Linked DNA regions of Rattus norvegicus. The protein of the gene in region 2 purifies or fractionates together with the protein of the main gene of each other region. This does not show direct contact. Links are inferred from orthologs where the notes say so. Each region holds a gene or a part of one and is shown on either strand. Other genes may lie near its edges.

Region 1 (4,378 bases), on a different chromosome or scaffold from region 2:
GACACCATTAGCTGCTTGGGGCAGTTTTCAGTGACTTAATTAGTTAAAAGCCAACTCTTGAAGAATGCATCTCGTGGAAGCATTTTCTGTTCCAGAAGCCGGTTCTGGGTCTTGTATTGCTCTAGTCTCTGGCGTCTTTTTTCACTAGTTCTTGATTGACTCAGGGCTTCACATTCTCATGGTGGCCTATGGCCACCTGTTAGGTGTTAGGCTGTTAGGCTGGGTTCCCCATGGTTTCCTATGTATTGGCTATCACTGTTCAAGTGTCTTGGAGCGTAATGGGTCTTCCCCTCTCATCCGTGAGAATGGAGGTCCCAGCCCTTTCTGTTGGGCAGAACTACTGCATGGGCTCAACCGCTCCCAAGAATCCTCACAGAAGTTAAGAGTAGTCTTAGATCTTAGCTGTTATGATAGGCTGGAGGGCCGTGTGTGTGTGTGTGTGTGTGTGTGTGTGTGTGTGTGTGTGTGTGTGTGTGGGTGGTGGTGGTGGTGGTGGTGGTGATGAGGTGAGTTCATGGGTGCTGAGTTAACCCAGAATGTGCAATTTTTTCTTCAGTGCCTATTTTGGGCTACAATGACTGGGAAACCTGATATTCCTCAGGCCACTCACAGCACAGCTACTGTCCCACGCGGGTCTTTCAGTGGCAGCCTCCCACTCACTCTGATAGTGCTGCACCCTTCGCCCCGCCCCGCCCCGCCCTCCGCAGCCTCCCAGGGTGGCAGCCAGCATTCCTGGACAGAACTAGGCTCAGCAGGACCTTTCCTGCAGCAGTTATGGGGTAAAGCGAGGCTTCATCCGGGCCCACGCGAAGTTTCCCAACCGCGGGGCAGGTGGGTCCTGCACGAGCACAAGCTGGTGGGTGCATGGTGTGTGTGGGTCGGGGGGGAGGGGGTCTCCCTACCCTTCATCCAACTCCGCCGCACTGCACCCTCCTGAAACGCACCCCCACCCCTTAGCCCGCGTGTCCCTTTAATGCGTGTCCCTTTACTGCGCGCGCTCGTCAAGGTCCTCGCGTCCCTCCCTTCGCGCCGCCGTCGAGCCTCGATTTCCCTCCTCCATTTCCCTTCGCCCTAACCCGCCTTTACCGGGCCCAGGACTCAGCTGTCACTTTACTTTTGCGCGCGCACCTTACTGGTCCCCCCCGCGCGCGGGCACGCGCCGGCGGGGGCGGGGCCAAAGCGCGTCGCGGGCTCGCGGGCGCGGCACCGCGAGGCCGACGTGGGGCTCGCGCTGTCGCGGGCTCTCGGGGCAGGCAGGGCGAGTGCGCGCTTGGGAGGGGGCGCGCGCGGACGGCGGGCGGCGGCGGCAGCGGCGGCTCGCGGAGGCGGCGGCTTCACTCCCGGACTCGGCGTCCGAGCCGCGGCTGGAGCGCGGGCGGCGCCGCGAGGTGAGTAGGCGCGGGCGGGCGGGCGTGGCCGCGGCCGGAGCCCCGGCGTAGGGCGCGCGGGGACCCCACGCGGCGAGGGGCAGACCGGCGAGATCCCCGCCCCCGCCGCGGCCTCGGCTCGGGCGCGCGCCCGCGGCCCCGCAGGCCTCCCTGGCCCTGCGCGTGCCCGCTGGGGCCCGCGCGCCCCTCCCCCCTCCCGCAGAGTGTGGCCCTCCTTCGCCTTCGAGGACCTGTCCTCTCCCCTCCCGCGCCCACCGCAGCCAGGAACTAAGTCTCCGCAAAGTCCAGGATGGATGTCGCGGTGCAAAGTGCCCGGCTGTCCCGAGCTCTTCCCTAATTGCATAATTGCTACACGAGGTGTCCAAGCGGGCGAGGGCCCGCCCGGGAATACCGGCTGAGTGTGTGCGTGATGCCCCGGGGTGGGGGGCGTCACACTGGTCTTTTGTAATGCCTGGTGCTTGGCACAGTTTGGCTCCGAAGCCGGTTTTCCTCTGGCTTCTCTGCAGCCCCCACTGGCCTGATTGGAAACTGGATTCCCTCTGTCCCCCCACCCCCACCCACCCCCTTCTTTGCTCCTAATGTTTTGATCCATTTGCCTTTTTCCAATTCTAATGAACATAAAGCCTGGCTTCTTGCGTCTTTTCCCACGACTAACCAGAAATGCCCCATCCATCTTCCCTAAAGGAAATTAAGGCCGCATTAGAGAGACATCATCACCCTGGGCTTGGTGGCAGCTCTTGGACCCATTTGCTGGTTTGCAAGACTCTTATCGTCCAACCCTGCATTGTGTCATTTTGAGGGTCTACTCGAGTATTTCCATTTTAAAGTACAAAAGAATTTGCTAGGACTTGCCTCTGATTGCCTTACTGTTCAGAAAGATTTTTAAGAGCTCGTCTTAGTTTTAAATCCTTGCATTTTGAAAAACACGCTCTAGAGATGCGATAACCAAGTCCGAGTCTTGGGAATCTAAATATTTGTCTTTACTCAGGCAGTCAGGATGCTCCTGGGCGCTTTGCAGTTTCGTTTGTGTGCGATGAAGATGGAGTGTTTTCATATGCCGTACCTTGAGCTCTTTCCCCTAGGGCACAGCACTTCCCCCAGTCAGGTGCTCCACTTTTATTTTTCGAATAAATATCTTTTCAGTCACTTGGAAAGCTGGGTAGCGCTACATGATCGGCACATAACATACAACATTTCACGTTTTGGAAAAGTTCAGAAATCCCAAGTAGAGAAACCGGGACGTCAACGACAAGTTCACATTTTCCTGTCGGAGCAGCACAAATGAATTCTTGCTTTCCTGAGCTTTTGAAAATCTTGATATTTGGTGATTTGGATAGTAATGTGGACTGCAGTACTGTTGCTTTCCTCGCTGGGATTTGCAGCCAGATCCTTTAGTTTTTCTGAAACAGGCTACTTTCACTCTCTATGTGCTGGCAGGGAATTTCCAGAACCCCATGACATCACAGAGCGTATAGTCAACAAAGCTTAGAAAATGAGTGTTTCAATTCTTAAATGTAATGCATTTATGTTTAGTTAGGGACTACGGTTTGCTCTGAATCTGAAGTAAAAATACCACTTGAGGTGCCTTAAGTTCTTTGAAACTGTCGTTGGAGGATGCATTTGTGTTTAGTGAGATCCCTGGAACCTAGCTTCCTTCTAGATTAGGGAATTAGCTCTTTAGGAATTAATTTTAAAATGCTAGTAAAGATAATATGTGGAAGTTTTAATGCAGGAGCCTACTCATTTATACTTTAGAGAGACGAGACACCAATTTGACACAGAGTTAATTTGAATTATCTATAGAGGGTCTCCTCTCATATGAATTAATTGTCCCAGAGTACACGATCACGTTGTCCCCTTTTTTTCTGTAATCCAGCAGAGAGTCTCTTAACTTTTGACATTTGAAAATGGGATACAGAGCCTTTGTTTCTGAATGGTTTTTGTAGTGCTTATCAGTGGCCTCAGGAGGATCTGTCATTAGTAGGTAAAACTTTGGGTCAGATAAGGTATCTTAGATGAAAAGTAGAAACGACTTTTTTAAGCTGTAAAACTATAGAAGCGATGCTTCTGTTTAGCCATTTCAGAAGATTCTGGGGAAGTGTTCTGTATGGAACCCAGGCCTTAACATACATGCTTGGCAGGCGCTCTGGAACTGAGCCCCATCCCCCAGACCTTCAGTAGTAGTTTTAGTCCTTTACTCTTCTGGTCTTCTGCTGTAGTCATGGATGTTTCAGTTTCAGGTTGTAGCCCACTACATCACAGAGTGGCCTATTCAGTAACTGTAGAGTTTACACATTATCAGGTGTGCACATAAAGAGTATCGAAACGAGTGCGCACTTCACGACTGACTCAGCACACAGCAGTCATAGCCGTGGCCGCAGTGTAAGGGAGCCACTTTCCTGCAGTTCTGGTGTCTGCCGTGTGATGGATTGCCTCAGGTTTCAGATACATAGAACAGTTTCTCACTGATTTCACATCTCTTAAGAGTGCCCACGGTGTCCTGCCCCTGAGAGCATCTAATCCTAAGAATGCTTCTTTCTGTTTCCCTATACACCTGCTTATCCAGCAAGCTATAGGGTACCTACTTACAAGGCTTTTAACTTTAGGTATATTTTAGCTCAAAGAAGCAAGCTGAGAAAGAGTACAAATATTAAACCCAAGTAATGAGAAGGTTAAAGTCAAATAAGAAACCCTAAGAAATATGCTCAGACTTTTTGAGCTAGACGGGAAACATAACTGACATAAAATTTCAGTGTTCTATTAAGTGACTTTATTGCTCATAAAAGGTGTCTTAGCCATGGAGAATGATGCCCTCCATTTACAGGAGAGGTGGGAGCACAGGCCGGATGTCTTGTGAGTGTTTGACAGCTATTCAAACAGCCTTACTGTTTGTTATGAACAAAGGGACTAGGATGAGGGTGGTGACGTCACATGTAGTGTCTTTGGACGCGTCATCATCACTGTGCTTCCCGATTCTCCCAGGCCTTTGC
Region 2 (4,397 bases):
CTGGGGGCTCTCCCCTTCCTCCCTTGACTACTGTGCAGAGGCCGCCTCACCTGCACGGGGACCTGAAGAACCAGAGTAAAGCAGACAAACTGCGAATCCTGGACCTCTGCGGTGGCAGGGTGCAGAGTGATGAAGATCTCCCATGGTGATCTGCAGGTGGATGAAGTGAAGACGCAGGATGTGACTAGGCAGGGGCTTGAAAGCTAGGGAGGAGGGGGTGAGAGAGTAAAGCAGTAGAGGAATGCACATTGGGCTTGTTTCTCTGGGCTGGGGGAGGAAGGCTTAAAGGAATAGTAGATAAACTTTACCTCTGAGGCAAGGCTCAGAGTACCCTAAGTCCAGATTCTGTGTAGAATTCTCTCACGACTGAGACCCCTGCCCGCCCCTTGCTGAATACGTACCTGCCGTTCCCTTTCATCACCTGTAGTTCGTCCAGATAGATAGATTCTAATACTTCAACTTCAGAGGGAAGGACCCTGGAGAGTAACGGGGAGACTGAATCACCATTGCAATTCTCCCTACCTAAGCTGCCAAGGCTGATGAAGACTGACTTTTTTTAAAAAAAATCTGCCTGAATACATTCTCTGGCCAAATTATTCTTTAAAACTGGGAAGTGTTTCTTCAAGCCAGGTAGAAAGCATGGGAATTAAAGTTTTGGAGATCACACTGCCAACTTGAGAAAACACATTCCCAGAGGAATTAAAACTAACCAAACCGTAACCCAGGAGGAATGGGACCAATCAGAGGCAGGTTCTGGCTCCCTGCTTACATTTCTACAGCGTAGGTTATCCTTTAGTGGGTTTCCCTCTGACCTGCATATTTGACATTCATTCATTAACAAGGCTATCAATATTATTTCTGCCCACCTATATTACTGTATAGCACAGATCCCAGTGTTCTGGCTACAGCCAATATCTTGCCAGCACCAGTCAGTGTAAACATCCTCAAAAGGACATAGCAAGTTAAACAGGTCTAGGTAATATAAAAGCTATACTGTATTAGAAGAGTCATAGGCCTTGTAGCAAATAGTAGAGCAGAAACTATTTACCAAGCTATGTGGTCAGGTTACTTTTTTTAGAAGCCTGAGTTACACTGTCTACCACCTAGTGATAATACAGCATACTCACTAGGGCTACTACGAGAGGTATAAATGATTTGGTTATATAAACTGCACAATGTCTAAGACATAGTATCTAGTTTAAGTGACCCCCCCCCTTAAAAGGAAAAAGGGCTTAGTTTGAGGACCCCGAGTATACACATGATCCAGGATGTGTAGTTAGTCCTGATCATCATGGCCAAGACAGGGCTCGTGGTCCTGATATTAATCAGTGGGCTCACATTTAAACAGAAAAAACAGCGGTTATAACATCGAGGAAGAGTGATTGTCCACAGCGCTACCCAGGTGAATGAATATATATATATATCTGTATCTGCTTTCTTATACAGTTCCTCTCCACCGAGAAGGCGCGCACCCCACTATCACCTCTATCAGTAATGGTTACTATTAGCATTCTTAAGCCTTAGGCAGAAACCTTAAAATACAAAACTTATTATTTTACAAATTAAAAATAAGACATTCGTGCTGGAGAGATGGCTCAGCGGTTAAGAGCACCCAACTGCTCTTCCAGAGGTCATGAGTTCAATTCCCAGCAACCACATGGTGGCTCACAACCATCTGTAAAGAGATCCGGTGCCCTCTTCTGGTGTATCTGAAGACAGCTACAGTGTACTTATATATATAAAATAAATGAATAAATTAAAAAAATCTTAAAAAAAAATAAGACATTCTGGCTACTATAGACTACTGCAAACACTGTTACTCTGTCATGGCTCAGGTGTCCCTTCATATGTTAGAAGTCCCTCCCAACATTGAAAAGCACTAGTCTGGCTGGGCTCCCTAAACCAACAGAACACTGAGGTGCAGCCGCAGGTAAGACTTCCTTCAGTACTTTGCCCACCTTAGGTCAGCTGAGTCTTGGATGTCAGATATAGACTAGGAGTAAATAAGGTCAGAGGTTACAGATGGGGGTCAACAGTAGGCTGTCCTAATACTAACAGTGTAAGGCCTCAACTCAGATGTCCTTTGGGCTACCTTAGTCTCTCGCAGTCTTATACTTAGGCAATTAATGAGAAGCAGGCTTATGCATATTACAAATCCACAGTGATCCTCCCAAGTACTCTATGAGGTAATGCCACACCCACTTTTTTTTTTAATAGCTGACACTGAGCTAGCTGGTTTGGTCGGCATCACATCAAGCTAATTAAATACGAAGTGAGCACATTTTTATCTTATGTCCAAAATCCAAAATCCTTAAAGGTTTTTGGTTTCTTATTAAGAATGCTCGAGAGAGTAGGAGATCTTATGAGGGGAGTAAGGCTTTTCTGACAATAGTTATTAGTGCTGTTGGTTATATGGGAAGATTGAAAAACGCATAGACAGAAATGGTCTGGTCCATGGGGCAGGGTCCTAGAGGCACGAGGAGTGCGTCCGTTCCTAGAGGCGGGAGGTGTGATGATGAGCAACCATCCTCCAGTGCCCAGAAAATCACATCAGGGAGAAGTGGGGCGGGGTAGGCCCGTAGAGTGGGCAATCGGGTCGATAAGGCGTGGGCCCAGCTGGCCAGGCCGCTGTAGACCCAGTCCCTTCCCAGATCGGCGTCCCTCCACCCTCCGTTCCCGGTTCAGTAGCTCGCCTACGAAAGGATGTCAGGGTCTCTTCCATCCCTCTCCCTATGATCCACCCTTTATGCCGGTGGTTCGGACGGTCCGAAGCTGTTGCTAGCTCCCAGCACCAGATCCAGGCAGCCAGCCAAAACCTATGACCCAAAGTTACCAGTCCTCTTCCCCGGCAGCTGTAGACGCAGACGCCGCCATGTCTTCTCCGGCTCTTGGCCGGAACCGGAAACACCTTTTGGGAAGTTAGAGGCGGAAAACTAGGGCGGGGCGGAGTAAAAGAAAGCTGGCGCCGTTTCTAGGCAACTGCAGACTCTAGATCCTTTGTGGGGTCTGCTAGCCAAGCGACAGAAGTGCCCTAGAAAGTGCTAATGGGCGGTTCGCATCTGTCACACACCTCTGAGAGCTTTGTCCTCTAAACTTCTGACCAGTTCCAGGGAGTAAAACTGGTAAGAGTGTGGGAAACTAACGAGAGCTGCAACGGAATGGAGAAAAGTAACGCAGGCAGCTGGGAGGGACCCCGGTAGAGGCCCAGGGCCACCAGCCCTCAGTCTGGGCAGTTTGAAGGTCTAGGCTGGGGGCAGGGTAGGGGACCTCGGGTCAGGATCGGAGTGGTGTTGCTGGGCCAGCTGAGGATATCAGGGACTTGGGAGAGCAAAAAAGGAGCATGTTGGTGAGCATTGCTAGAGAGGGGAAAGGGGACACCGGGCACCTAGCCTGGGTGGGGGTGCCCGAGACATTCTAAGACCTGATCATCTTTCCACCCTGGTCATGTATTCGAGGCCTTGGTTATTGTGAAAAACAGGAGAAAGCAAGGCTGATAACGTGTATCTTTCTCCCATGTTGTGGGCCAGGCCTCCCAGATGTGTGGAACCATCCCTGGATCTATAGCTCTTTGTCACCGTCTTCTTTCTGCCTTCTGAGAGACCCTGAAACCCTTGCCATGGAAAAGTACCACGTTTTGGAGATGATTGGAGAAGGCTCTTTTGGGAGAGTGTATAAGGGCCGGAAAAAATACAGTGCTCAGGTAGTGAACAAGGATATCTTTTAAGTGGGATTTGGTGACCCACTTGTCCAGTAAAGACTTGGGACAGAAGGGCTGCACGGTGTATATTTCTAGACCCTGACTCCAGCATACTTCCTAGGGTATATAGGCTCAGAAATTTGATTTCTTGGAATCAAATCCCGGCCTTAGAACTAGGGGCAAACTACCTAACCATTCCATGCTTCAGTTTCCCCAAACTGTACACTGGGGGAAGATTGATAGGGTCTGAGGATTAAATGTACTTTACACTTAATCACTTAATACGATGCCTGACATCTACTGAACGACAAAAATTATAACTGTCCTTTGTATGACCTACGAAGATGACCCCTTGAAGTCCTTCCATCTCTCCATCTTCTTTCTCCTTCCCCCACATCTCACCTGAGTCCTTTGCTTATGTCAGAAAACCTCTGCCAGGGTCCCATCAAAGGGATCTATTTGCCAGTAACTGTTTCCCCCAGTGATGGGTTGACAAAGCCAGAGTAAATCCATAGTCCCCTAGTGGGGAAAGTGGAGGTGGGAGGGTAAGTATGTGTTTGCATTCATACTAAGAGTTGGTCCAGAAGTATAAAGTCTTGAATCATGGCACTCTGAGATAAAGCTTAAAGTATTTACACACACACACACAGAGAGAGAGAGAGAGAGAGAGAGAGAGAGGGGAGGGAGAGAGAATGTGTGT

What was found.
Region 1: the proteins of Rnf25 (region 2) and Ube2e2 purify together in Homo sapiens (affinity purification with mass spectrometry; 3 studies listed by BioGRID and IntAct, counting the BioPlex papers as one, with this or other methods). This does not show direct contact. The link is inferred for Rattus norvegicus from reciprocal best matches to the Homo sapiens genes RNF25 and UBE2E2.

Annotation. Positions count from the first base shown.
Region 1 is NC_086033.1:9,410,342-9,414,719, forward strand, and holds the start of Ube2e2 (ubiquitin-conjugating enzyme E2 E2), read left to right. Parts: upstream 1-1,278; 5' UTR 1,279-1,388; intron 1,389-4,378.
Region 2 is NC_086027.1:83,623,079-83,627,475, forward strand, and holds the start of Rnf25 (E3 ubiquitin-protein ligase RNF25), read right to left. Parts: upstream 2,883-4,397; 5' UTR 2,875-2,882; coding exon 2,834-2,874; exon of another isoform or gene 2,827-2,833; intron 2,245-2,826; exon of another isoform or gene 1,959-2,244; intron 477-1,958; coding exon 402-476; intron 204-401; exon of another isoform or gene 151-203; coding exon 51-150; intron 1-50. UniProt on the Homo sapiens protein: E3 ubiquitin-protein ligase that plays a key role in the RNF14-RNF25 translation quality control pathway, a pathway that takes place when a ribosome has stalled during translation, and which promotes ubiquitination and degradation of translation factors on stalled ribosomes.